Drosophila melanogaster: one gene and its partners. The protein of the gene in region 1 purifies or fractionates together with the protein of each later gene. This does not show direct contact. Each region holds a gene or a part of one and is shown in the gene's direction. Other genes may lie near its edges. The genes, in order: san, CG9922 and Naa15-16.

The links.
Region 2: the proteins of san (region 1) and CG9922 purify together in Drosophila melanogaster (affinity purification with mass spectrometry, with the first as the bait; 2 studies listed by BioGRID). This does not show direct contact.
Region 3: the proteins of san (region 1) and Naa15-16 purify together in Drosophila melanogaster (affinity purification with mass spectrometry, with the first as the bait; 3 studies listed by BioGRID). This does not show direct contact.

What each region holds. Positions count from the first base shown.
Region 1 is NT_033778.4:11,357,010-11,364,202, forward strand, and holds san (separation anxiety), read left to right. Parts: upstream 1-3,696; 5' UTR 3,697-3,815; coding exon 3,816-3,823; intron 3,824-3,949; coding exon 3,950-4,273; intron 4,274-4,505; coding exon 4,506-4,728; 3' UTR 4,729-4,862; downstream 4,863-7,193. Other genes in the region: iotaTry (iotaTrypsin), read left to right, coding at 1-492; CG12384 (uncharacterized protein), read right to left, coding at 1,107-1,262, 1,327-1,415, 1,949-1,994; ix (intersex), read right to left, coding at 2,510-3,076; Gr47b (gustatory receptor 47b), read left to right, coding at 4,891-5,832, 5,896-6,057, 6,120-6,260. UniProt on the Drosophila melanogaster protein: N-alpha-acetyltransferase that acetylates the N-terminus of proteins that retain their initiating methionine. Has a broad substrate specificity: able to acetylate the initiator methionine of most peptides.
Region 2 is NT_033777.3:14,032,523-14,039,521, reverse strand, and holds CG9922 (uncharacterized protein), read left to right. Parts: upstream 1-3,123; 5' UTR 3,124-3,592; coding exon 3,593-3,698; intron 3,699-3,839; coding exon 3,840-3,901; intron 3,902-3,970; coding exon 3,971-4,078; intron 4,079-4,243; coding exon 4,244-4,342; 3' UTR 4,343-4,504; downstream 4,505-6,999. Other genes in the region: CG3061 (uncharacterized protein), read right to left, coding at 5,030-5,142, 5,197-5,360, 5,423-5,535, 5,602-6,016, 6,081-6,255, 6,700-6,832.
Region 3 is NC_004354.4:19,476,855-19,487,321, forward strand, and holds Naa15-16 (N(alpha)-acetyltransferase 15/16), read left to right. Parts: upstream 1-3,129; 5' UTR 3,130-3,767; coding exon 3,768-3,824; intron 3,825-4,163; coding exon 4,164-4,652; intron 4,653-4,743; coding exon 4,744-5,531; intron 5,532-5,597; coding exon 5,598-6,025; intron 6,026-6,097; coding exon 6,098-6,750; intron 6,751-6,829; coding exon 6,830-7,087; 3' UTR 7,088-7,789; downstream 7,790-10,467. Other genes in the region: CG32533 (uncharacterized protein), read right to left, coding at 1-485, 554-751, 814-1,184, 1,239-1,769, 1,830-2,403; mRpS14 (mitochondrial ribosomal protein S14), read right to left, coding at 2,576-2,899, 2,960-3,022; pcm (pacman), read right to left, coding at 9,249-9,338, 9,407-9,487, 9,551-10,213, 10,278-10,467.

The sequences.
Region 1 (7,193 bases):
GGCGGCACATTGGTTCCTGTGGCGGCGTACAAAGTCCACGAGCAGTTTGATTCCCGCTTCCTGCACTACGACATTGCCGTGCTTCGTCTGTCCACACCACTGACCTTTGGCCTCTCAACGAGAGCCATCAATTTAGCCAGTACGAGTCCATCGGGTGGAACAACAGTCACTGTCACGGGTTGGGGCCACACTGATAATGGAGCCCTCTCCGATAGCTTGCAGAAGGCCCAGTTGCAGATCATCGATCGCGGAGAGTGTGCCTCGCAAAAGTTTGGCTACGGTGCGGATTTTGTGGGCGAGGAAACAATTTGCGCTGCCAGCACTGATGCAGATGCCTGTACGGGAGACTCTGGAGGTCCTTTGGTGGCCAGTAGCCAGCTGGTGGGCATTGTATCCTGGGGTTACCGGTGTGCGGACGACAACTACCCCGGTGTCTATGCCGATGTGGCGATTCTGCGACCTTGGATAGTCAAGGCGGCCAATGCCATATGAACAGATTTTGGAAAATAAAGACCATGCTTAAAAAAGTTTAAGAATGCAACTCCATTAATATTCGCCCCCCAGGTGGAATCGAACCACTTCGACGCAAATCGACTACGGATTTGAAGTCCGCACCCCGGACCACCGAAGTTCAGTGGGGCATTTAGTGTGCTAGAGTTTCCCTAATTATATACACGTTGTGCTGAATAAGCACTTGGGAATTTTAAGAGTACGTGTAGAGCAAATTCCAGTAGATCTGAGGGCAATATAGATAACATCGGAAATCACGAATTTCATGTATAGTGTTATATGTCTTCTTTGGTCAATGTTTTATCGCATCCAAGCTCACCAGGAACACCACGAGTTGGTTTAGGTAAAAATTTAAGATATACGCATTCGAAACGAATGTCTTGAAATCTATAAAAGGGATAAAGTTTATTACAAAATATTAACTCAGAAAATCAGCATTTTTAATTTATGGAATGCAGTGGCAAATGCATATATAAAATTAAAGAGTAAATATCGCATTCAAAGGCGATTTCAATACCATTGAGAGGACTCATAGAATTTCAACAAAAGATCAAAGAGATTAGATAATGATAATAGTTATTCCGCCCGAGTACGCATCACTTCCGTGGCTGCTGGATGTGGATCTGGGGCTTCTGCTGCACTGCAGCCGGTGGCTTGGGCGAGTGGGCCACCTGGGCGGAGGCGGGCGTAAAGTCCGTGTTGCCCTTGACGGGGGCACCGCTCACAGAGCCGGAGTTCACGGCAATGGGTTGCTTTAAAGGATTAGAGGATAAGTTAGTTTCCATTGAAAACCACATACTTATGTCAATAGCTCACTGTCAGTCCAGTACAATCCTCTGCATCCTTGGGCGCGCGTTCTGCCGTCGGCGCTTTGTGCTGCACAATTCGCATGCCACCAGCCTTCACTATAATTAAATAACAAAAACATATAGGGTTGGCAACAAATGAGGCTTGGCCACAGTAGCCGATTCAAGCCGTGTTTACGTAAAGCGGCTATTAAAAAGTAAGTAAGCCATACTAGTCGTCCAAAGTTGACATGTTATTATTTACATTGTACGAAGATGATTAAGTCAATGGCATTTTATAAACGTTAAGGATAAAATATAAGGCGTAAAAAGCTACTTTAAAAAGTAATAATTTCCTATTCAGTTAACGTTATTGTTTGAATTGCACGTGACGTCAGCATAAAGTACAAATACAAACATACATTTCTTGAAAGCTATGCGTTTGCTTGCCTGTGTTCGCTTATTTGTTTACTTATCAGCTTTGGCCGAAACAGGTTAAGATACTGATAAGGGCGCAGATATTCTGGCAATTGATTTGATTGGGTGCATTATTGATTGCCAACAAGGCAGTTTGTTCTTATAAGATTCAATTGCTGCCAAAAATCGAAAACTCGTCTGCATCGACACACACACACCAATGCAAGTGCACTTACATGCAGGTGGGTGTCCGGCCACAAGATTTGGTTGTTCATCTGCCATTTGTTCTGGTTTAGTAAGCTGAGGGTCGGAGAAGTTGAATAAATTAACGGCTTGTGCACAGTTAACAACAAAATGAGACCTTACCGCTTTTCTAGTTGTAAATAAATGCGCGGCACCGCTGTGTTTTGCTTTTGCGTTCTAATTGTGACACGTCCGACTGTTGTCTATCGAATTTTTAGCCTTTTCTCACTGGATGCGCAGTTACTCATCGACTGCTGCAACGCGTTCTCACTGCAAACATTTTCACAAATAGTGGTACACGAAATACAACTAGAATTTATTTTATTGCTCGATGTTTTTGTGTAACATGTTTTCTGTATGCAAACTAATGCCCACAAGCTATATTTATTTTATTATTTTCCCTTTTACTCTTCCGCCTGTAAAAACGTTGAGTATGGTAACACCATTTCGACTTTCCCAAACAAAGATCATTGTTATCTTATATCTAAGAATATTTATTTACTTAACTTAAGTGCATGCGTGTGAAATAATAAAACCTAATGCTACTACAACTATCAATCAGCCTGCGAAATGTTCTGCGCGGCACTAATCAGAGTGTCGTGTATATCCTTGGCGGACTGTATGTGAACGCGGACCGTGTTCAAGTAAGTGGGATACGAAATGGGGCCGGCGTTGTCCGGCATAAAGGTCTCCATGCGCATGGGAGTCACCGGACCGGGGAGATAGTGATTGGAGGAGTTCTGCTGCTGGAGGCACTGCATCGCCGTCTTCAAGTGGATCTCGATCTGGTCGCAACAGGCGTAAAAGTCTTCCAAGTGCTTGTCGAACCGCGGAACATGGTGGGCACCCGTGTCCCTCTTTAAGTTGTCCGCGAGATTGTTTTGCTGCAGCGCGAAGGCGCTCGACCGGATGGTGAGGAACATGGACTCCCGCAGTGGTCCCAGCAAACTCTTCACCCTGGAAATGTTGTCCAATTTTTCGGCCTGCTGCTGCTGCTGCAGTGGCTGTGGAGGCTGCTGCTGTTGATGCTGCACTGGTCCTGGGGGTCCCGATGGCGAGGATTGCATTACCTGCATCATTTGTGGCCCAGACATGGGCATCATGTTCATGTTGGGATTCATTTGGCACTCGAAATCGATGGATATTGGGGGAGAAAAATATTGAACAGCCGCGAATTGTTTTCTTTTTGTGAAGAAAAACCCGTTAGGAGATTTCTCACATTTGCGTTCGCGTACCCATGGCGAATATCGAATATAATATAAATATAACTAAGAGTTGCTAAAAAATACAAAAGTTGTACTGTAAATTTAAAAAATTCTTTAAAAAAAACTAGTTTAGAAACAAGGACTACCCAATATTTCATATTGTTACATACATAAAAGTGTATCTATAGCATAACTCACTACGAAAAAGTAGAGGTAACAATATGTTTTGAAATTAAAAGTTGGCCATTATTGAAAGTGTTCGTTCATATTCTAACTGTCAAACAAGTGATAGCTAATGTCAACCGACCGGAAAGAGCTGTCATCTCATTTAGTGTATGCGTATCCCAAATAAAAAACGATGTGTAATGTTTCATTTAGCATTGAGTGTTTTTAGTTCTGTTTTAATTAATTATTAGTTTTTGTTTATTGCTTAAAATAGTGTGAGCAAAAAAGTTTAGTTAGTAGTCTTAGATATGAAAATCAAATTTATCTTGCTATAAAATAGCTATTCTGGCCGGCGTCAATAACCGATAACGATAACTTGCGACCTGCAACCCGAACAATCAGGAACAGCTGAGGCGCTTAAAACACATTTTCCTATTACAATTTTCGGCGCAAAGCGCGTTGCTAAATCAACAGAAATCGTACAGACAACATGACTAGGTGAGTGGCTATCTTTGCCGGACCATTGGAGGATTGTGACTGCAGGAGATGCACCGGAATCATAACCTAAAAGTGCCGCTTGGGTCGGAAAAGCTAACCCATGTTCCTACCCTTTCCCGCTTGCAGGAGCAGCATCGAACTGGGCGACGTGACGCCCCACAACATCAAGCAGCTAAAGAAGCTCAACACCGTGGTTTTCCCGGTCTCCTACAATGACAAGTTTTACGTGGACGTCCTGGAGGCCGGCGAACTGGCCAAATTGGCCTACTACAACGACATTGTAGTGGGCGCCGTCTGTTGTCGCATCGACAACACTGAGAACCAGCGGCGCCTGTATATCATGACCCTAGGATGCCTCTCCCCGTACCGGCGCCTGGGCATCGGCACAGTTATGTTCGAGCACATTATGAACTTCGCCGAGAAGGACGGAAACTTCGACAGCATTTTTCTGTAAGAAAACTTATCATTAAGATTCGTGTGTTTTCGACACACCCCTGGGGAGCAATGTAGTTCGATTTTAATGTAACCTATAACTATTTAAGTGGGAAAGTTTAATTCCGGCCTATCTGGCTTATTTATCTATCCATTTAATACATAATATATATATTTTTGGCTAAGGAGGAAATAGGTTTATTTCGAAAATACTTTAGATCATGTTTTTTAATTCTGGTTATAATTTTAGACATGTGCAAATCAACAACAACGGAGCCATCGAGTTCTATAAGAAGTTTGGTTTCGAGATTGTTGACACCAAGGAGCAATACTATAAGCGCATCGAGCCGGCGGACGCTCATGTACTGCAAAAGACTCTGCGCCGCACTGCACCCAACTCAAACAGCACCGCCACCAGCACCACCGCGAACTCAAATTCACGTAGTAAAGCACGACAGTTCACATTTGTTTAAAGATGAATTTCAATATGTATAACAAACAGACATGTAGAGGCGGCCAAAACGATGTATTCAATTAGTCCGATCATATCTATGTGTAATCAATAATAATTACCCCTGCGCGGGAATAAATAGCTCTATACGGCTTGGCCAGTCGAAACTAACATTACTTGGGCAATGCAACGCGACGATGGCTTTGTCTACTGTTACGGAAACTTGTACAGCCTCCTGCTCTACTGGGGATTGGTCACAATCCGGGTGAGAAGTCCTGATCGTGGAGGTGCGTTTTCAAACAGGTGGACTGTGTGCTATGCCCTTTTCACGCGCTCCTTTATGGTTATCTGCTTTATGGCTACCGTGATGACTAAGCTGAGGGATCCCGAGATGTCCGCTGCCATGTTTGGACACCTTAGCCCGTTGGTCAAGGCAATATTCACCTGGGAGTGCCTCAGTTGCTCGGTCACCTACATTGAGTACTGCCTTTCGCTGGACTTGCAGAAGGACAGACACCTGAAACTCGTGGCTAGGATGCAAGAGTTCGATCGTTCCGTTTTGATGGTGTTCCCTCATGTTCAGTGGAACTATCGACGCGCTCGCTTGAAGTATTGGTATGGCACTGTGATTGTCGGCTTTTGCTTTTTCTCCTTTTCCATCTCACTGATCTTCGATACGACGCGTTGCACATGCGGCATACCGTCCACCTTGCTGATGGCCTTCACCTACACCTTGCTGACCAGTTCCGTAGGATTGCTGGGTTTCGTGCACATAGGTATTATGGACTTTATAAGGGTTCGTCTGCGTCTGGTGCAGCAGCTGCTTCACCAACTTTACCAAGCGGATGACAGTTCAGAGGTGCACGAAAGGATTGCTTATCTTTTCGAAATGTCCAAGCGCTGTTCGTTTCTCCTGGCGGAGTTAAACGGAGTTTTTGGATTCGCCGCAGCTGCTGGTATCTTTTATGATTTCACTATCATGACCTGCTTCGTGTACGTTATCTGCCAAAAGCTGCTGGAGAGAGAGCCCTGGGATCCCGAGTACGTGTACATGTTGCTGCACGTGGCCATACACACCTACAAAGTGGTCATTACTAGCACCTATGGGTATTTACTTCTGCGAGAGGTGGGTGACCTTATTTCCGTATGCAGAAACTTGCATTTCGCATCTCTATCTGGTTTTCTCTAGAAACGCAACTGTATGCATTTGTTGAGCCAATACTCGCGATACTTCTCCGGACAGGATGTGGCTCGCCGGAAAACGGAGGACTTTCAGCATTGGCGCATGCACAATCGGCAAGCGGCAATGGTGGGCAGCACAACCTTGCTAAGTGTTTCTACCATTTACCTGGTGGGTGATACCATGAGCCGCTCGGAAACCTGCCTGATCTGATCTTTTACTTATCCTGGCAGGTGTACAACGGAATGGCCAACTATGTGATTATCCTGGTGCAGCTGCTATTTCAACAACAGCAAATCAAAGATCACCAGTTGACATCGGGCAAAGATGTGGACATTGTGGGCCCAATGGGACCCATCACTCACATGGATTGAAATAGTTGCAATTACATTGAAAAAAATTAGCTTATCTTTATTACGTATACTACGTATCTTAACACGTTGCAATAAAACGGTTTGGTTAATTACTTCTTTATAGTTCAGCTCCGAATTAAAACACACTCAGATCATCATAAAGGCGTTTGACAGTTTTGGTCCTGGCGCCTCCTTCGGTACTGATTGCCACTCAAATCCGTCGACGAGGATTTTGATCGCCGGCACAAAGTCGATAGAGAACTCATGGTACTTTGATTTGGCGGTAATGTTATGACAAATTTTTCTCGTCGATACCGCAAATGGTAGCATCTCATCCTGCAGCAATGGGACTTCAAAAGGATGCATAGTAAGAAATGATTAAGAAATCGATTTGTTATCTCATCCTATTACCAGAATTGAAGCTTTTAGAAACAAATGTGGAGGTCAAAAAAAACAGTTAGCTTAATTTTACTAAAAGGCCATTATTCAAGACATTCTTTACATAGAAGTTTTGTTATTCTGTGATTTGTTAACGTTTTTGAACTTGGTTTTAACATATATGTAAGGGGATTAGATACATCACCTTTGCGCTTAAATGTTGATAACGATCCTTTGACAAATACATACATACATGCATACATAAGTAATATAACATTTAACAGTTAAGTATATGAATACTGTCAGTTGATATCAAAGCGACTTATGCTGGTACAATCTTTCGAATTGAATGGATGTCTTTAGAAAACTTTAGTTTGGGTTTAATCAATGTTGCAAATATGCCAATTGGCTGGGTCAACACAAAATACAAAATAGTTCCTGGGGGTCAATCAGGTGGGTGTAGAATTAAGTAAATATGTATTGGTTGCAGATTGCATCAAAACTCCGTTAGGCGGTGTTCATATAAAAATCGCCTACATTAGGTATACGCATACCAATGGACTGAGTATATACATA
Region 2 (6,999 bases), on another chromosome or scaffold:
AAGAATTAGGTTTCCAAAACCAAAGCCTTTCCTTATTTATCTAGCACTCAATACTGCTTTTAAAAGGACTACAGATATATATTTGAATACGAAATAGTAAATAATAATATAGAAAACAATGTAAATGACACTTATAATATTTATTACATTATTTATCTAAAGTAAACATTATTGTTTCAAGTGTAACGTTTGTGCGTATATGCCACGGAATCGGTGGCTGGTGTGTCCATCCTGTGAAGCATGACAATGGCCAAAAGGATGCTTCCTCGAGTGGCGACCACTTGCCAATTGCGATTATGGTTTATGTACACCACGATAAAGGTCGTCAATAGGTCGCCTTCGCCACACAAGCTCAGCTACCTCAAGGATAGTCCCAAGTCCCCATCCCAATCCCCGCCGGCTGAAAGTATCCTTGCAAGGAGCAACTTTTCGTACTTCGCTATCTGTTACAACTGTTGGAACTTTTGCTGACCATTGGAGCGCCTTCAATGGCTCAATTATTTGCCCCAATCCTCGTTTTTTCTTCTCCAGTTGAGTTGGTTTGATTTCGGTTTTGGTTTTGTTCTTCTATTTTTTTTTTTTTCTGCTACAAGGATAATTTCTCGTGGCGTCAGTCAAGCGCGCTCACCCATAGACATAAATATTTAAGGACACACACTGGATTTGAGCCGGGCTTTCGAGTGTTATTAGCGTAATTGAGTTTGTTAGCCAATTATGCATGCAATGAGCCAGAAACGCCAACGTTCGCCGCCTTCAAAAGTTGAACCAAACAAATTTAAAGACCGTCCTTGAATCGCACATTTGAATGGAAAATTCGTGGCAGGGCGCGTCGTCTGTGCAACAGTTCTTGAAAATTGCATTTTCTTAATTTATTTGCTATGCTAATTTATTTATTGACTGACTGGCCACGAATGCCAACAGCCCAATGTCATTTGGCCACAGACGACACGACCCGTGGCATCCTGAAAATCACGCAGACAAGTGCCATATTAAACAGCAGGTGCCACAAATTTCGACTCAAAAATGTATTGAAACAAAGGACACTTTAACTTAAATAAATATGAATTTGAAAAAATTTATATATGTATATTTGTTAGCTAGCAAATATCTTTATTACTCCATCATACAGTTTGATTTTTCAGAAAAGTTTATAATTTTGTATTTTCATTGCTAGTATTGTGAACTCGTCTGTATGTGCAGCCAATTGCATTCTGCATTCAGTTCGTGAAGGGAATGCCCCAAAATGAAGCAGGAAGCCAGCAGAAATGCTGATTTTTGATGGAGGTGTGGCAAATTGAACACATGTTCATTGCCAAATTCTTGAATTAAATTGGCAACGAGCATTTCCAAATTGATAATCAACAAAATTTACATTCGGGTGTTGGTAATTAAAACACGGAAAGACAAGAGAGCAGAAAGTTCTAAATATAACAGAAAAAAAAACAAATAAATTAAAGCTTGTACTCTTTAAAGTATCTACACATGTCATATATTTTTAAGTGTCTAAATCCCTTTAAAACATATATGTATCTGCATTTCTAGCGCCTTAAATTATTACACAATCCTGATAACTCATTTATGGCCTGTCGTCTGTGCTATCTTTGTATCTATTTTGCACACTTAAAAAGTTGGCATAAAAAGAACAGAAACCGCAACAAAAAGAAAAAAAGAAACAATAAAACCGAGTGTAAAACGCAGAAAGTAACCACCAGAAGGGAAAACAACAAATTCGAACAAAATGTTTGCCCTTCGCGAAGACAATGCAAGTTAAATTACGTCACGCAAGCGAATTTAACCCCGAAAAAATGGCAAAAAAAAAAAGAAAAGATACTGTGTGAATTTTCGGGTGCCAGCACCAACACACACACGCAAGCACTCACACACACACACACACACACACACTAACACACAGTAAAAGGAACAGGATGCCCCTGTGGATATGCAACGCTCAATTTGCCATTGCCAACCACAATGGCAACCGAAATTGGCAACTTAATTTATGTGCTGCGCTAATTAGCACCATAATTTAATTTCCAATTGGCAAACGGAAAACGGGGAGAAAAAAAATGGGGAAAGCGAGTGGTGAAAAATCGGGGAAAATGGAAAAATGGAAAATGAGAACTGGGCTAACAATGCAAATGCAAATGCAATGCCTGTTGCTGCCAATCGCATATGCTTCGTTTGAGCTGAGATTGCGCGGGTAAACAAAATGCATTTAACCCTTTTGCGTACTCTTCAAAAGAAAAAGGTAAATTAGTTGATATATTAAATAAGTATTATTATTTATTTTTCAAATACTGTTAGTCATAAAATTGTCATTGATTAGAAAATTACTTTTATTTAAGCTTAATTAAGCGAACTACAAATTGTTTATATAATGACTTTTTCACTTTCTCAACAGATATTTCCACTTTTAAAGGGTATCTGTGTGACTGAGTTAAAACCACAAAAATTCCCACATTTCACATTTCTTATTCATTTTCCGATCACTTGCGCTCCGCATGCGAAATTCCGATGAAAAATCCGGAGCTGCCGAAATAAAATCGAATTAAATGCAGTGCACATATGTCGCCACCCCGTGGATCCCCCGTTTTTTTTTTTTGGTGCAAACCAACCCCCCATCTGCGCACACGCCCCCTAACAAATGATGTTGACCGCCCATGGTCATGGATGCTAATTAATCTTGATTTTCAAACCGGGCAAAAGCACGCAAGCAGGAGGAACTGTGAGTGTCCTTTACGTCAAAGTGACAATTAAATTAATCATGATGGCAAACGATTATGTCAACAGGACACACAGGACACAGTGACACACACACACAGTGGACTAGAGGAGCGGCGGGGGAGCTGAACTAAAAAAAGGATGTCGCACATCAGAGCAGAGAAGTATGCATGTCTCTACTGCTTCAAAATCTAATTATAGCCGGAGCATCAAACTTATAATTAACATTTCGACCGCAGCACAAAAAAATTGGGAATGTGCGAAAGAAACGAGCAAAGCGCCAAAAGCAGTTACTTACGTTGCATGTGCTAGACATTTTTAATTAGTTTTGCGGTTAAAAACTTTAGCATTGACTTTAAATTTAAAGAAAGATGTGTCAATGTTTTGCTTAAAACTTGTGGGGTCAACTTTTAACTGCTCTCCTCTCCTCGCCTTTCTTGTCAAAATCAACTTCGTTTAATTTATTGTTTAACAATATGACACTATTTCTTGGCGTTTTGATGATTTTACTGTTTCTTTGGTTGGAAGTGTACAATTGTTGAAGCACACTTTTCAAACTGCGCGCCTTTTGAAACAGGGCTGTCGCTTTCGATCAAAAACAGACAGGTGGCAACGCTGACACGCAGCATAAATGCAATTAATTTAATACAGCGCTAAGTGCATATTGAAAATACACAATTTCCAAATTCGAAATTACATAAAAAACTTCAAAAACTATTACAATAAAAGCCAAGCAAACACTCATAGATTATTAGTTAAATTATGTCGATTGTGTTATCGCTAGTAGTCCATCTCTAATCGCACGAGGTGAAGAAATCGCAAAGAATTTCGGAACTTTTATTGAATTAAACATAAAAAAAAACAATTGAAAATGACGGAAGCAGCGGAAATCAACGGCAGAGAAGAAGTGGAGGATGACGAGCAGGATAAAAAGCAAAAGAAATCCGATGTGAAACGACATGACGACGGCGCCGCAGGTAAATAAATATTTCACATGCCGCAACTCATTCCACTGAAAAATTGCAAAAAAATGACTGGCATCTATGAAATATCATGTATTGTGCACCAATCCTTAATAAATATGGAGTATTAATACTAAAACTTCATCTTGCTTTTAGATTTGGAACGTGTGACGGATTATGCCGAGGAAAAGGAGATCTCTGCGGACAATATATCCAGCGTAAGTTCATATATTTATTAGCAAGGCAATATTTGTATTAACAACATCCTTTTTTTTTATAATTTACAGGCCGTGGAGCAGTTTGGCAACCAGCGTAACAAGGAGAACGAACTGCGAGTAGCCAAAGAGAAGGAGCTCCAGAAGGTCCAAGTCAAGAAGGAGGACATTGAACTGATTGTACGTATGCGAAACTACAAGGAAGTATTCCCTTTCATTGTAGAGATACAAATATAGTTCATTGCATTAGCTCCAGTTCCCTTAGATTTCCTCCTTTGGTTTCCCATAGATAACTTTCTTCCGATCTTCCTTTTGTAATGGTTTCCTTCCCCTCTGCCCTTTCAGATGAACGAGCTGCTGGTTAGCAAGGCGCATGCCGAGAAAGTGCTCCGCGAGCAGAGCGGCGATGTGGTGGCCGCCTTGGAAGCCATCATCAGCAATTGAGGTGCTCGTGGAATCCGAAGCAATCCGCCGTCTGTTTCTTTTATGTAGCGTAACAACACACTGCTTTATTTGTACATTTATAAACTCTAGCGAAGAAAACAATACAAAACAAAAAGACTTTTAAGCCCACAAATGAGTGAGAGTGCTTACATCGTCTAAACGAATTTATTTTGGAGTTATAATAACTTGCAATTTTATTCAGAATATCGCCACTGCCCATGCGTTCCGTGTCCTTAAGAAAAATGTGATGATGCGTCGTATCCGTGTATAATTTATGTTTATAATTTATGTATCCGATTGCTAAATGAAACAAACGCAAAGTCCTTCGTCTCAGCCGCCCACTTATATTCGTAAATCGTGTAAATATGACTTTTTGGCAGTTGCGTTTGCTTCGCTTTCACATATTGCCCGATTGCTTTCTATACGAAATGAAAATGCTACCAAACGTTATTGGGGAAAACCTGATGCCTCATAGCAGCTCTATACGTTTCATTCCGTTTCATTTTTTTTTTTGGGGGAGAGAGGGAAGGTATTTAAATAGACATATAAATTATGAAACAAAATAGACAATGAAATTCATTTATAACAACTAAAGCAAAATATGCAATAACTACACAACCCAGCAGTTAAGGTTTCAAATAGTGGTGGATTTGAGGAGTAGCTTTTCGTGTGATAGCATTAACTAATTTATGTGATTAAATACTTTTGCAGATTCTCGCACGATGGCGTATTGATGTTCTGCGCCTTTCTGTACAGATCCCGATCGCCAAAGGTACGCGCCTTGGCCAGCATTGAGTCGCCTGTAAATCGTTTATGTTAATATCAGTTTAGTATAGTTCCTCTGCCTAACTTACGATAATTCCTCTCTCGACTGCAGGAGTGTTTTAGATGATTCACAAAGTCCTCTTCCACGGATTCCTCTAATCGGGCCACTGATCCCTGATATTCTGAATAGAAGTTGTCCTTTACGTAGTATGGTACCTTCAGGGAGTTCGTCTCACGCTTCACCGAATATTTACTGCGGATTAGAGAAATGAATCCACATTAGTGCTAAGCTAATTTTTAATTTGGTTTGCTTACTGAGAGGGCGTCAAGCTGTACATTGGGTCCGAGATGAAGAAGGACGACATCATGGAGAGTCCAATGAGCAGCACGATGGGCAGCAAGTTTACCAAGGCCGAAGAGTTGTTACCCTTGATATGGAGATAAAAGGCAGTCGTTTATAATGTGCACAAATGATTTCGACTCGGTACACTTACTTCTCGATCCTCGCGAGCCTGCTGACGACGTCGCTGCTGCCGCATATGGACATTCTGCTGTGGGAATCCGCCGTTGAAGAACATGTTGAACAGCTCCTCGGCACTGATGTCAGCCTGGAATCCACGCGAATATCCATACTCGTTGTTGTAGTATTGCCCGTGTCCATGGTGTCCGCCACCATTGTTGCCGTGACCATTGTGCGACTCATTGATGCCATACAGATCGTAGTTCTTGCGCTTTTCGGCATCCGTAAGTACGCCAGCAGCATTGCCGAGAGCCTTGAAAGCCTCCACCGCACCAGGAGCCTTATTCTTGTCGGGATGCAATTGCAGAGCTAGCTTCTTGTAGGCCTTTTTGATCTCCGAATCAGTGGCCGTCTTGCTAACGCCCAGTACTTCGTAGTAGTCCTTACATCTAATACCAAATGCACAAATGCAATTAGTAATGTGAAAGGCTGGCTATATAGAGTGGTACCTACGTTTTGACCTTTCGCACAGCTTCCAACTGATCTTTGGTGTAATCTGGGGCACTGGAACGGGAATCCGAGTTCACACGTTTCCTCGGCCCGCTGTCCTTCTCATCGCTGGCACCCGCTGTACGGGATTTGCCATTGCTTTCGTTGCTCGGAGTGCTCTTCAACTGGGCAAGTAGCTCTACAAGATGGAAAAGAAACACGTCAGCAGGTCAAAGGTCAATATTCATTTAATGCTGTGGCATGATGTTGTTGATCTGTTGTTAAGTTTTACAAGGACTTTAAAACAAAGGTGCTGCAATAATGCTCTTGTGAAAATAATGAATGCAACGCATCTCTTGTATTGTGTAATGACTATTACTTTACTGCTTTTCATCTTTAGAATATCGTCAAGGCTGTATGTTAAAAGCTAATTCGATAAAGATCGTACCACTCTACCTGGCTTACCCACGAAAGGTGCGACATAACACAAACATAACTTGGTTGTTTCTACTGATAACAAGCCTCAAAGATAACCGCTTTTAAAAGGCAAAGGGAAGCATGCTTGCCAAACTAAATCGCATCAATTGATATGGGAATGTGAACGTAGTTGATCCAGTGGATCTACTTCCTTTGTTATCCTTACTTTTGGCATTATCCGTAGGAAAGAGCCTCTCCGCCTTGAGAAGGAACTTCTCGGCCTTTTCGATTTTGCCCGCGGCGAGCGCTTGGACCGCGAAGTCGATGCACCGCTGGGCCTCGTCCTTGTTTCCGTCCATGGCGCCTTAGTGCGTAATCACTAGTTTTAGCTAGTTAACTACGTGGTGATCAAAGTAAATAGTGAGGCTCCGCTCTCTTTATTTGTGTGCGTGAGCGTGTGACGTCTATGGGCTTACGCACCAACACACACGTACGCCTGCTGGGTTCTGGGCTCGAAAAGCCTTGT
Region 3 (10,467 bases), on another chromosome or scaffold:
CGGCGCTTCATGGCTTTCAGCTGGCGCAGCTCACCATGTCGCGTTGCGCGCTCGGCACTGGTCAACTGGGAGTCCGAATCGCTGGCCACCACCATGCCGCAGCTCTCGAGGATGCGCTGGAACTGTTGACGCAGCTTGGTCACCTCATAGAAGCGCTGCTCCTCGATGCCCAAGCGACGGCACCACTGTCGAGTGCCATCGCGCCGCATCTTCAGCTGCACCCACACGTTGTAGAGTCGCACCAGGGTGAAGAGGTCGCCATGATCGGACTCCAGAGACTCCCGCTCGCGCACGCAGCGCTGGTCTGTGTGGGCACGATTCGTCAGCGGGTTCTGCACGCTCAGCATGGCGGCCAGGGTCAGCAGCTGCTCCACCTCGGGAAACACGCTGCCCATAAGCAGCATCTTGCCGATGGACAGCTCTACGGGCAAGTTGGCCAGCGATCTGCCCAGCGGTGTGATCTTTTCCTCCACGCTGAGGGCGCACTGCAATTAGAGATTAGAAGTCCGGTTGAATTGGGGTCTACACAGTTGGGTATCGGTGAAATGCTCACGTGTTGCTTTAGCGCCAGAATAGTCTGCTCGATGCGCTCCGTTTCCGGGGCCTCTATGAATGGAAAGGCCCGGACGTCGGGCAATCCCATGGACACCATCTGCAGCAGCATCGTGTCGAGCGGCACGCGGTAAATTTCCGGAGTGGGATATGCCTCGAAGGCGTTGTATTGCTCCGCAGTGTAGAGCCGAAAACAGACCTGCGCTCGGAAAGTGGGAATGTATGAGAAATGGAGCAACCGTGGGTTAGGTTCTAGCTTACACCTGGTCCCGTGCGACCAGCACGACCCTTGCGCTGATCCGCAGACGACTTGGACACCCAGAACTCTTTCAGACGCTGGCCCTTGCAGGTTGCGTCGAAGTTCATCTCCTTGACCTTGCCAGAGTCGACCACGAACCGCACGCCGTCCACGGTGAGCGACGTTTCGGCTATGTTGGTGGACACAATGCACTTGCGCATGCCCTCGGGTGCGTAGTCAAACACCTTGCTCTGGTCCGCGATCGCCTGGCCACTGTGCAGCGGCAGGACGAGCCAATGAGTCTGTTCGGTGGCATACTCGTGAACGGCCTCCACAACAGATTCGATTTCGTTTACGCCGCTAACGAAGATAAGGACGTCACCGCGCTCGCTGGCTAGGTAAGATGATTATTAGGCGATCCCTACAAGAACATGATAACTAAACTCACTCGGATACTGCTGGTCAATAAGGCTAAGCACCTGGACAAATGGAGCTGGATCGATGCGGTTTCTCTGAGAGCGTTTGGATGTCGCCTGTCCCGCCTTTAGTTCCAGTGCAGGAGGCGGCAGATAGCGCAGTTTGATGGGAAATAAACGTCCCGGCACCTGGACCAGCCGTGCGCCCTCCTCGCCGAAGTAGCCGTGGAAGAGCTCCACGTTGATGGTGGCAGACATGAGTATCAGCTTCAGTTGCGGCCGCGCCCTCAGTAAGCACTTGGTAACACCCAGTAGAAAGTCACCGAATAAGTTGCGCTCGTGGATTTCGTCCAAAATCAGGGCATCGTACTGGTCTAGGTTGGCGGCCACCGCTAGTTGCCGCAGCAACAAGCCCTCCGTAATGAAAAGGATGTTGGTGAGCTTCGTCCGACTGCGCTCGAATCGGATCTGGAATGCCACCCGACTGCCGTAGTCGTCCAGCAGCTCGTGCGCAACGCGCTTGCACAGGGAGACGCAGGCCAAACGGCGCGGCTGGGTGCAAGCTAGGGCAACAAAAGGTCGATCATTGGTAAGGCAGCCTCAATGGGAAGCCGCATACTCACCAATGCTGCGGTAGCCAAAGTCATAGAGATACTGGGGCACCTGTGTGGACTTGCCGCAGCCAGTGTCACCGGCCACGATGACCACGCGGGACGTGTCCAGTGCCTCGCGCAAGTCCTTCCGGAAGCGAGCAATGGGTAGATTGCGTTGTGTCTGCCGCAGCTTTCGGATACGCTGGAACTTTTCCGTCTGGCGGAAGTCTAAGTACACCAGCAAGATATGACGAAACTGGGACTGCATTTGGTCGCGCGCCTCCTGAAGCAGTTCGTCAGCGTCCAGCCGCAATGCCAAGTGCTTGCTGCGGTGATACGGCTGCATGCTGCTCAGCTCCGCCTCCGCGAGTCGAGGCGGCAGCACGGGCTGGCCCGTGGAGCGCATCATAGCCTCGTACTTGCCCACGAACTTCCAGAAGTCAGCCTCGTTCTCCACCAGACTCCTGCCTACCTGGCGGCTCTTGGCCTGCAGCAGGCCCACGAGCTCCGCCTTGTGATCCAAGAAACTGAACTCGATCAGATTGATCTGAGTCCTGCGGCGGCTGGAGGCATGTTCATCTGCCTTCTTCTTTATCCGAGACATTTTCACCGAAGCAAAATAGTTCCTAAAATTTGTATTTACTTCTTCCCACAGCAAACGATAACACTGCTACCGATAAACGGTCAGCTGTGCAAGAACCCAAGCCGATAACACAATTCTGGAATGTGGATGACTACTAACAAGGTTTATTTCCCTAGATTGCTAACAGAAGATGCTACCACATGGCGCGCTGGACGCCGGACAGCTTATTGTAGTCGGCGAGGTGGCGCCACACGATTCGACTGAGCCTGTACTTGTGGACAACTCCGCGCGGACGTGACGTAAGCGCGCAGCGTTCCCTCACCCGGACGAGCGATGAGTCCCGAGGAAAAGCAGCGATCTCGGCGTCGGCTACCTCGCGTAGCTCCGGCGGCAGGATGTCGTTCTTGCGCAGCGAGTTGACTCGCAGCCGCTCCACGGCGTTCTCCTTGACGCACTTGCGCCGCTTTACGTCGCGAATCATCTTCCAATCGGCATACTTTGTGCGCACCTGCTGCAGCTGTTAAGACAATGGGCTGGATATTATGTTCGCTTAGCTAGGAGTACGATGTTAACTTACCCCGCAGCCGGCTATTTGCACGGACTGGCACACAAAACCCCCGATCCTGGCCAGAGAATTCATGTTGTTGCTTTCGGTGGTGCTCTTCTTCTTTTTGCCTCTTTACTTTGTTCGCTATAGTGTCGGTTATTAACGCGCGGGACTATCGATAGGCAACAGCTGATGAGCCCATACAGTGAATTGCAAATTTATTGCCTATTATTTTCGTATACGAGAACTGGGTAATTTAAATGAAAAATACGATGGCGAAGCATGCGGTGTGGAATCTATAAGGTTAAAACATGGAAAGCCGGCTGACTTTCGACCTCTCGGAATAAGTTTTAATTAACAATTCACTCGCTTTACATAACCGCCTAGCAGCGCGATTCAAAACGAGCGCGTTCACACCCATTCGCAGTGGCGTACAATTGCTGTTACCATTCGCCGCGAAGCGCGTGAACACGTGTGCCAGTGTGCGTGCGCCAGTGCGTGCATGTGCACAGTCGAGCTTGCCAGTGTGGGTGTGTGTGGTCGTCTCACGTCGATTTAGAAATTTGCTCGTGCCCGCAGTTTGCCGTTCGCCGTTTTCGCCTTGTGTGTGTGGTGTGTCTACTCCGTATAGACTGCCAATCGAGTCCAGCTCCGCTTCCGAGCAGCAGCAGAAGAGGCATCGCAACTCAGCTCAGCTCGCTGATCCACAGATCCCGCAGTCCGGTGCAATTCACGGCCAGGCGAAAACCCAGTCCCAGTCAGCAGCTGAGGAAGAACAAGAACGACCAAGCAGAAGAAGCAGCAGGCCGAAGAGAGGAGCAGCCGCAGCCTTGCAGAGATGCCTTCTAGCGATCCCCTGCCGCCCAAGGAGGGCGCGCTCTTCCGCAAGCTACTTGTAAGCCGGTCTAGGTGACCCTACTGTCCCATACCTTCCCCTTCCCTTAATACCACAACTGTGCCGCCCCCTCCCTTTGTTCGTGCCTTTGGCCGGCTTCGGCATCCATGTGCTTTTTAGCCGAAGTCAGGTGGAGAGTGCCTATTTTTGGCAGAAGCAATCCGGAGGCGATGCCTCCGCTGCTCGAGATGTGTGGCTTCAGCGGGCGATTGCACAGCTCTGCTCAACCGCCGACGTTTGTGGTCGGCCCGCTGGTCTCATAACCTCAAAATTCGCGCTGCGCGGGATGCGAGAAACTTTGACTAAAACCTTTCTTCTCTGTGCTTTCTTATCAAACAGAAATGCTACGAACTGAAGCAGTACAAAAATGGCCTTAAACTGGCCAAGCAGATCCTGTCCAACCCCAAGTACATGGAGCACGGCGAGACGCTGGCCATGAAGGGGCTTACTCTGAACGGACTGGGGCGCCGCGAGGAGGCCTACAAGTATGTGCGTCTGGGTCTGCGAAACGACCTGCGCTCCCACGTTTGCTGGCACGTCTACGGACTGCTCCAGCGCAGCGACAAGAAGTACGATGAGGCCATCAAGTGCTACCGCAACGCGCTCAAGTGGGAGAAGGATAACCTGCAGATCCTGAAGGACCTGTCGCTTCTCCAGATCCAAATGCGCGACCTCGAGGGCTACAAGGAGACGCGCCACCACCTGTTCACGCTGCGTCCCTCGCAGCACGCCTCCTGGATCGGTTTCGCCATGAGCTACCATCTGCTGGGTGACTACGACATGGCCAACAGCATCCTGGAGACGTTCAGCCAGTCGCAAACGTCGATTGTATGTATCCAGCTGCCTGCCGATTCAATTTTATATTCCAATTCAATAAAATGCTCGTATTTCTTGTTCCATGTCTCTGCTCCGTGGGCAGGAGGCGCACGATTATCGGCACTCGGAGCTGCTGCTCTACCAGAACCAGATACTCATCGAGTCGAATCGTCTGCAGCAGGCCGTGGACCACCTGACCAAATACCAGGGCCAGATCGTCGACAAGCTGGCCGTTCGCGAGACCATGGGTGATCTGTACATCAAGCTGCAGCAGCAGGAGAAGGCAGTGCCCATCTTTGAGTCTCTGATCCGCCGCAATCCGGAGAATGTGCTCTACTACGAGCAGTACATTGCCGCCCGCCAGGTGACCGACTCAAGCGCCGTGGTGTCGATCTATCGCGTGTTCCAGGAGCAGTATCCGCGCGCCCTGTGCCCTCGCCGCCTGCCTTTGAACATCGCCAACGGCGACGAGTTTCGCGTCGTGACCGACGAGTACCTGCGCCGCGGTCTGCGTAAGGGCATTCCGCCGCTATTTGTCAACGTGCGCACTCTGCACCAGATACCGGAGAGGGCGGCCGTTATCGAGGAGCTGGCGCTGCAGTATTTCGAGAACCTTACCCGTTCCGGCCACTTTTCTCGCGAAGATGCCGACGCCGGAATTCCCGTCGAGCCGGCCTCGGCGCTGGTGTGGACGGCACTGTTTCTGGCGCAGCACTACGACTACATGCGCGATACGGACCGCGCTCTGGAGTACATCAATGTGGCTATCGACCATACGCCAACACTCATTGAGCTGCTTATCACCAAGGGTCGCATCTTTAAGCATGCTGGCGATCCCGTGGAGGCGTACGTCTGGCTGGAGGAGGCCCAAAGCATGGACACGGCAGATCGGTGAGTGAGCCCCATGGACTAGCATAGACCTGCTGAACCATGTAACCATCAATGTTTTCCCCTCAGCTACATCAATTCGAAGTGCGCGAAGTACATGCTGCGCGCCAACATGGTGCAGGAGGCAGAGGAGATCTGCGCCAAGTTCACTCGCGAGGGTGTCTCCGCCATGGACAACTTGAACGAGATGCAGTGCATGTGGTTCCAGACGGAGTGTGCCCTGGCCTATCAGCGCATGGGTCGCTGGGGCGAGTCGTTGAAGAAGTGCCACGAGGTGGAGCGCCACTTTGCCGAAATCGTCGAGGACCAGTTCGATTTCCACACCTATTGCATGCGTAAAATGACGCTGCGCGCCTACGTTGGCCTGTTGCGATTGGAGGACGTGCTACGCCAGCATCCATTCTATTTCAAGGCGGCCAAGTGCGCCATCGAGGTGTACATTCGTCTGTACGACAAGCCGCTTAAGTCGGAGACAACCATTGAAGAGATTGACATTGGTATGTGGACATTACCCCACTAGCTCCCTTGCTCGTTCTAGTTAGCTGTATGACCGCCTTTCTTCGTTACAGAGAACCTGCCGCCATCAGAACTGAAGAAGCTGCGCAGCAAACAGCGCAAGGCCAAGAAGAAAGCTGAGCTGGAGAGTGCGCAGGCCGCACAGGCGCAGGTGAAGCGCGAGCAGCACCAGAAATCGAAACAGCAGGCAAACCAGGAGACCGACCCCGATGCTCCGCAGTTGGACGAGCTGGTGGCCGAGAAGCTGGAGCGCACGGACGATCCGCTGGACAAGGCCATTGAATTCTTGAAACCGCTGCAGCAGCTGGCTAAGGAGCGCATCGAGACGCATCTGCTGGCCTTCGAGTTGTACTACCGCAAGAACAAACTGCTCCTTATGCTGCAGTGCATCCGGCGCGCTCGCGCCGTCGACGCCTCGCACCCCGTAATCCACAGCTGCATTATTCGCTTCGTTAAATCGTTGACCAGCGCCGCCAAGGAGCAGCCGTTCAATGAGCACGTGCAGCAGGTGCTGGAGAAGGCCACCAAAGAACTGATAGGCAGCAAGACGCCCCAGCAGCTCAACGATGAGTTTATTGCCAAACACAACGCTTCCATACTGCATTTATACGAGGGCGCACGCAGTCTGTACGAACTGGACAATAGTAAAAAAGCTGCCGCCATCAAGCTGGTCACTAGCTTCAACCTGGCCAAGCTCCGGCTGGAGGTAAGTGACTGCCAAACCCATTTCTCCACCCACTGACTGGCCCCCTGTTGATCCTTGCTCTTTGAATTGTGTTCCGCAGGAGGCCACCAAAATCTACACAGCGTTGCGGGACGGCGATGTGTTTGGCGAGTGCGAGGCAGAGGCCGCTTCCTACCAGCAGGCGTGCCACCAACGCTTCCAGTACGCCCGCATCTTTCGCAATGTCGAGGAGCTGGAGGCTCAACTGCAGGAGAAGGAGGCCGCCAAGCTGCGCGCCGAGGAAGAGCAGCAGCAGCTGATTCACGTTGATTCTAGTGAACCGGTGTCTGTTTTGGCCACGGCAGCGGCAGCGTCTTAGGACCAAACAAGACTACTAACTAATACCCGGGCCCGAGAAGTTAGTAACAGCAACAACAGATCTGCGGCCACCACACCAACAAACACAACAAAAGCAACAATAACGAAAAGTGAAGCGAAGAACCTAACTAACAACCAACAATATGAACAGGAATAAGCTTAGCTCTATAAACAACGGCAACCACAATAAAATTCACTATTAACAACAACAAACCAAGTGCTCTGATGAGGAGGACGCCAAGCCGCTCTAGGCATGGCCGAGTTTATCTGATCGGATCGGATCGGATTGGACCGGTACGGATCAGATCTGAGGCGGCAGTTGGCTTGGCGCTGTGCCCTTGTGCGTGGCACCTACCAGTCTGCCACCTGAGAACACATCCCGTCGTCATCCGTCACACAGCATCCTACAAAATGGTTTCGGACGAGGACGAGTCGATGAGGAATAGGAATAGGAATCCGGTACGAAATGGTGCGGAGGTGATATGTGGGATTCGCACGTCGAACGTTCGTCACCGCGAACCATGTAGTTAACCAAGTTGTTGTATCCACTGTTGTGGGATTTCGAAAACTGAATCAAACGGAACGAACCTTTGTTGACAACACCCGCTGGCTTTCTTAACAACACCTTATTTTTTATTATTTTTAACGAATGCATTGTATGTACATATGAAGTCGTAATTAATTATACGCAAATCAAAACCTTAATTCGTACACAACGACAAGTCTTCTAATTCTAAACCGCATTGTATTGAGCAGAGTAGGAGCGGCAGGACTGACTCCACTGGATGCGTTGTGTGTCCTTGTGCCCATTCTAGTATATTTCTGAGCAGCTTGCGCTGGTTTAGCATCGCAATTGAGCCGCCTACATTTAGTATATCTACTAACGACCTATATAGAAACCATTGCAGTTTGAACTAAGGATTAAATAAGTAAGCGCAACGACGCCATCATTTATTGAAACCAGACCAAGCAGGAGCTCTCAATCTTCGGGTTCATCGGTCAGATTGAGGACACGCGGCTTATAGGTGAGTCTTTTAAAACGACAAAAGCTCGAGTGAGCCCGCGTTGGGGTCGACTGCACCCCAACGGCGTCCTTATGTCGGCAGATTTTGACGAAACTCTCGGGAATCCTTGCGTTAGTGGTGATTGTCAGCGTGGCTGATCCCGCCGAGGTAATGTAGCGCTTCTGTCCCTCCCATCCTGGCTGGGAAAGCTTTTTCTCAATCTGCAGCTTGACCTCAAGTGAAGGCTGGGCTATTGCTCGGCGCTTTTGTTTTGGTTTTGGTTTATTTTCTTGCTTTCTTTCTTGTTTATTTTCCTGTTTTTTTGCTTGTTTTTCTTGCTGTTCTTGTTCTGAGCGAGAGAGAACCATGGAATAATGACCACACTTGAGGAAAAGATTTCTTCCCTACCTGCCATTTTTCTGTGCAACGTTTTGGGAATAACCTGCTCGCAATGATTTAGTCATGTGGCAATTGACGATAGCTGTCAAAAAAAAAATCGTTCAAAATTCCAAATTCAAGAATACAGTATAATCACAGGGCTAGCTCGATAGCCTCCCTGATCTGGCAATTCTCTAGCTGAAGGCTCTGCGACCGACAACTAGCGAAAAAACTATGCCAGGTCAGAGATTTCTTAGGAATTTGCGACTCCTTGCTCACGCGACACGTGCAGAGTTTCGATTTGAATTCAAAAGAAAACATTTGAATTTTAATTGCCAAAACAAATTGATAGAAATGATTGAAATGATCTGCCTTCACTAGATTTTCAAAGATTGTAAACAAATCACGAACGAGATTGCTCAATACATTTGAAATTAGCCACAGATTGCGTGGCACTGACAGCTTTATTCAAAACAAAATACGTCTTATAGGACAGATCCTTCTTAAAAGCTAATTTACACAATGCAGCTTGGCATTCTATCGAGTAACAACAAAATATGGGTAAAGTCCAGTTTATTGAAAAAATATAAAGACGAGTCAGTCTCATTTTAGTATTCACATAATCCGCAACTCTAAAAAAAAAATGATCTATCGTGTGCGGCAATTCTAGTGCCTCGCACAGACTAGGAGAGATAGAAATAAGGTGATATAAGATCCAAATAGCGTTGCATTTCTTCAGCTAGGTGGGATTTGAACCTAAAAATACCCATTTGTTCGCTCTTAAGTTGGATGCGGGGAGTCGGGCAGTATGTATTCCAAGTCGAACTTGGCTCCGATGCGAGGCACTCGATGCTTCCTTCGGTTGACCGCCTGCAACAGAAGCGAGTAAATGGAATGAGTAAATTATGCAGAATAACTATCTCTATCTCCTCCATTACCTGGGATGATGTCGTTGCTGTGGGCGCGTTCGCACTGCCTGTTGAGACCCCATCAGATTCGGACTGCGACGCAGCCGGCTGCTGTCGGCCGAGAGGAAAGCATTAGTTCGGTAATCAAGGCTTTGACTTGTAGCCAATGCTTACCTTAATTTCAAGCGTTTGCATCAGTCCAATCACCTGTTCGCCTGCTGATTGTACCGGAAGACTAGAACTGGCCTTTGTGTCTATAGTCTCGTTCGTCGGTTGCTGCAACACAGGCGAACGACTAGGATTCTTGGTGGCATCGACGTCCTGACGACCGGCTGGTTGGACGCGATTTAATTTCTTGGGACGGTACGCCTGTATGGGCACAAAATCTTGGATCGTTGAGTATCGCGGTGGCGCATTGTTGATCTCCGTCAGCTGGAGTGGCTGCTGCTGCTGCTGCTGCTGCTGCTGATTCGGGTAATATGGTTGCTGGAGGTGCATGTGCACGTTGTTGTTAAAGGTGCTCTGCGCAGCTATATTCTTTTTGGGACGCATCTGATATCCATTGTTGACGCCAGCGTGGAATGCGTTGGCGTGCTGCATGCGCGGGTGCACCCACTCATGCCACTGCCTTTTTGATGGAGCACCCAATGGCGGCTGATTCAACGCCGCTCCTGTCTGGCCGCTTCTGTAGAAATGCTGGCTATTGATACGTTCAGGCTCCATTTGCGCATGCGCCTGCTGCTGCTTCTTCTGCGCCTCCTGCTGCTGCGCCTCCTGCTGCAGCGCCTCCTGCTTCTGCGCCTCTTGCTGCCAGAAGAGCGGTGGCTTGGGTAGATTCTGCAATGAAAAGTAGTTATGTGAACACATGGTTGGGTGGCACATCTGGGCTGAAAGCAGTTACGGGCATTTGTCCGGGAAACGGAGCTCTTTGCTGTTGAAGTAGTGGCGGACGTTGCTGCTGCACCGCCTCCTGGAGTGGCGGCGAGCTCTGGTCCTCACCCACGCCCAAAACCGACATGAGCGCCAAGGTCTGATCCAGAGGAGTCAGCGTTGCGGACGAGGCTGCGGTGAATGCAGTGGAAGCAGTGCTT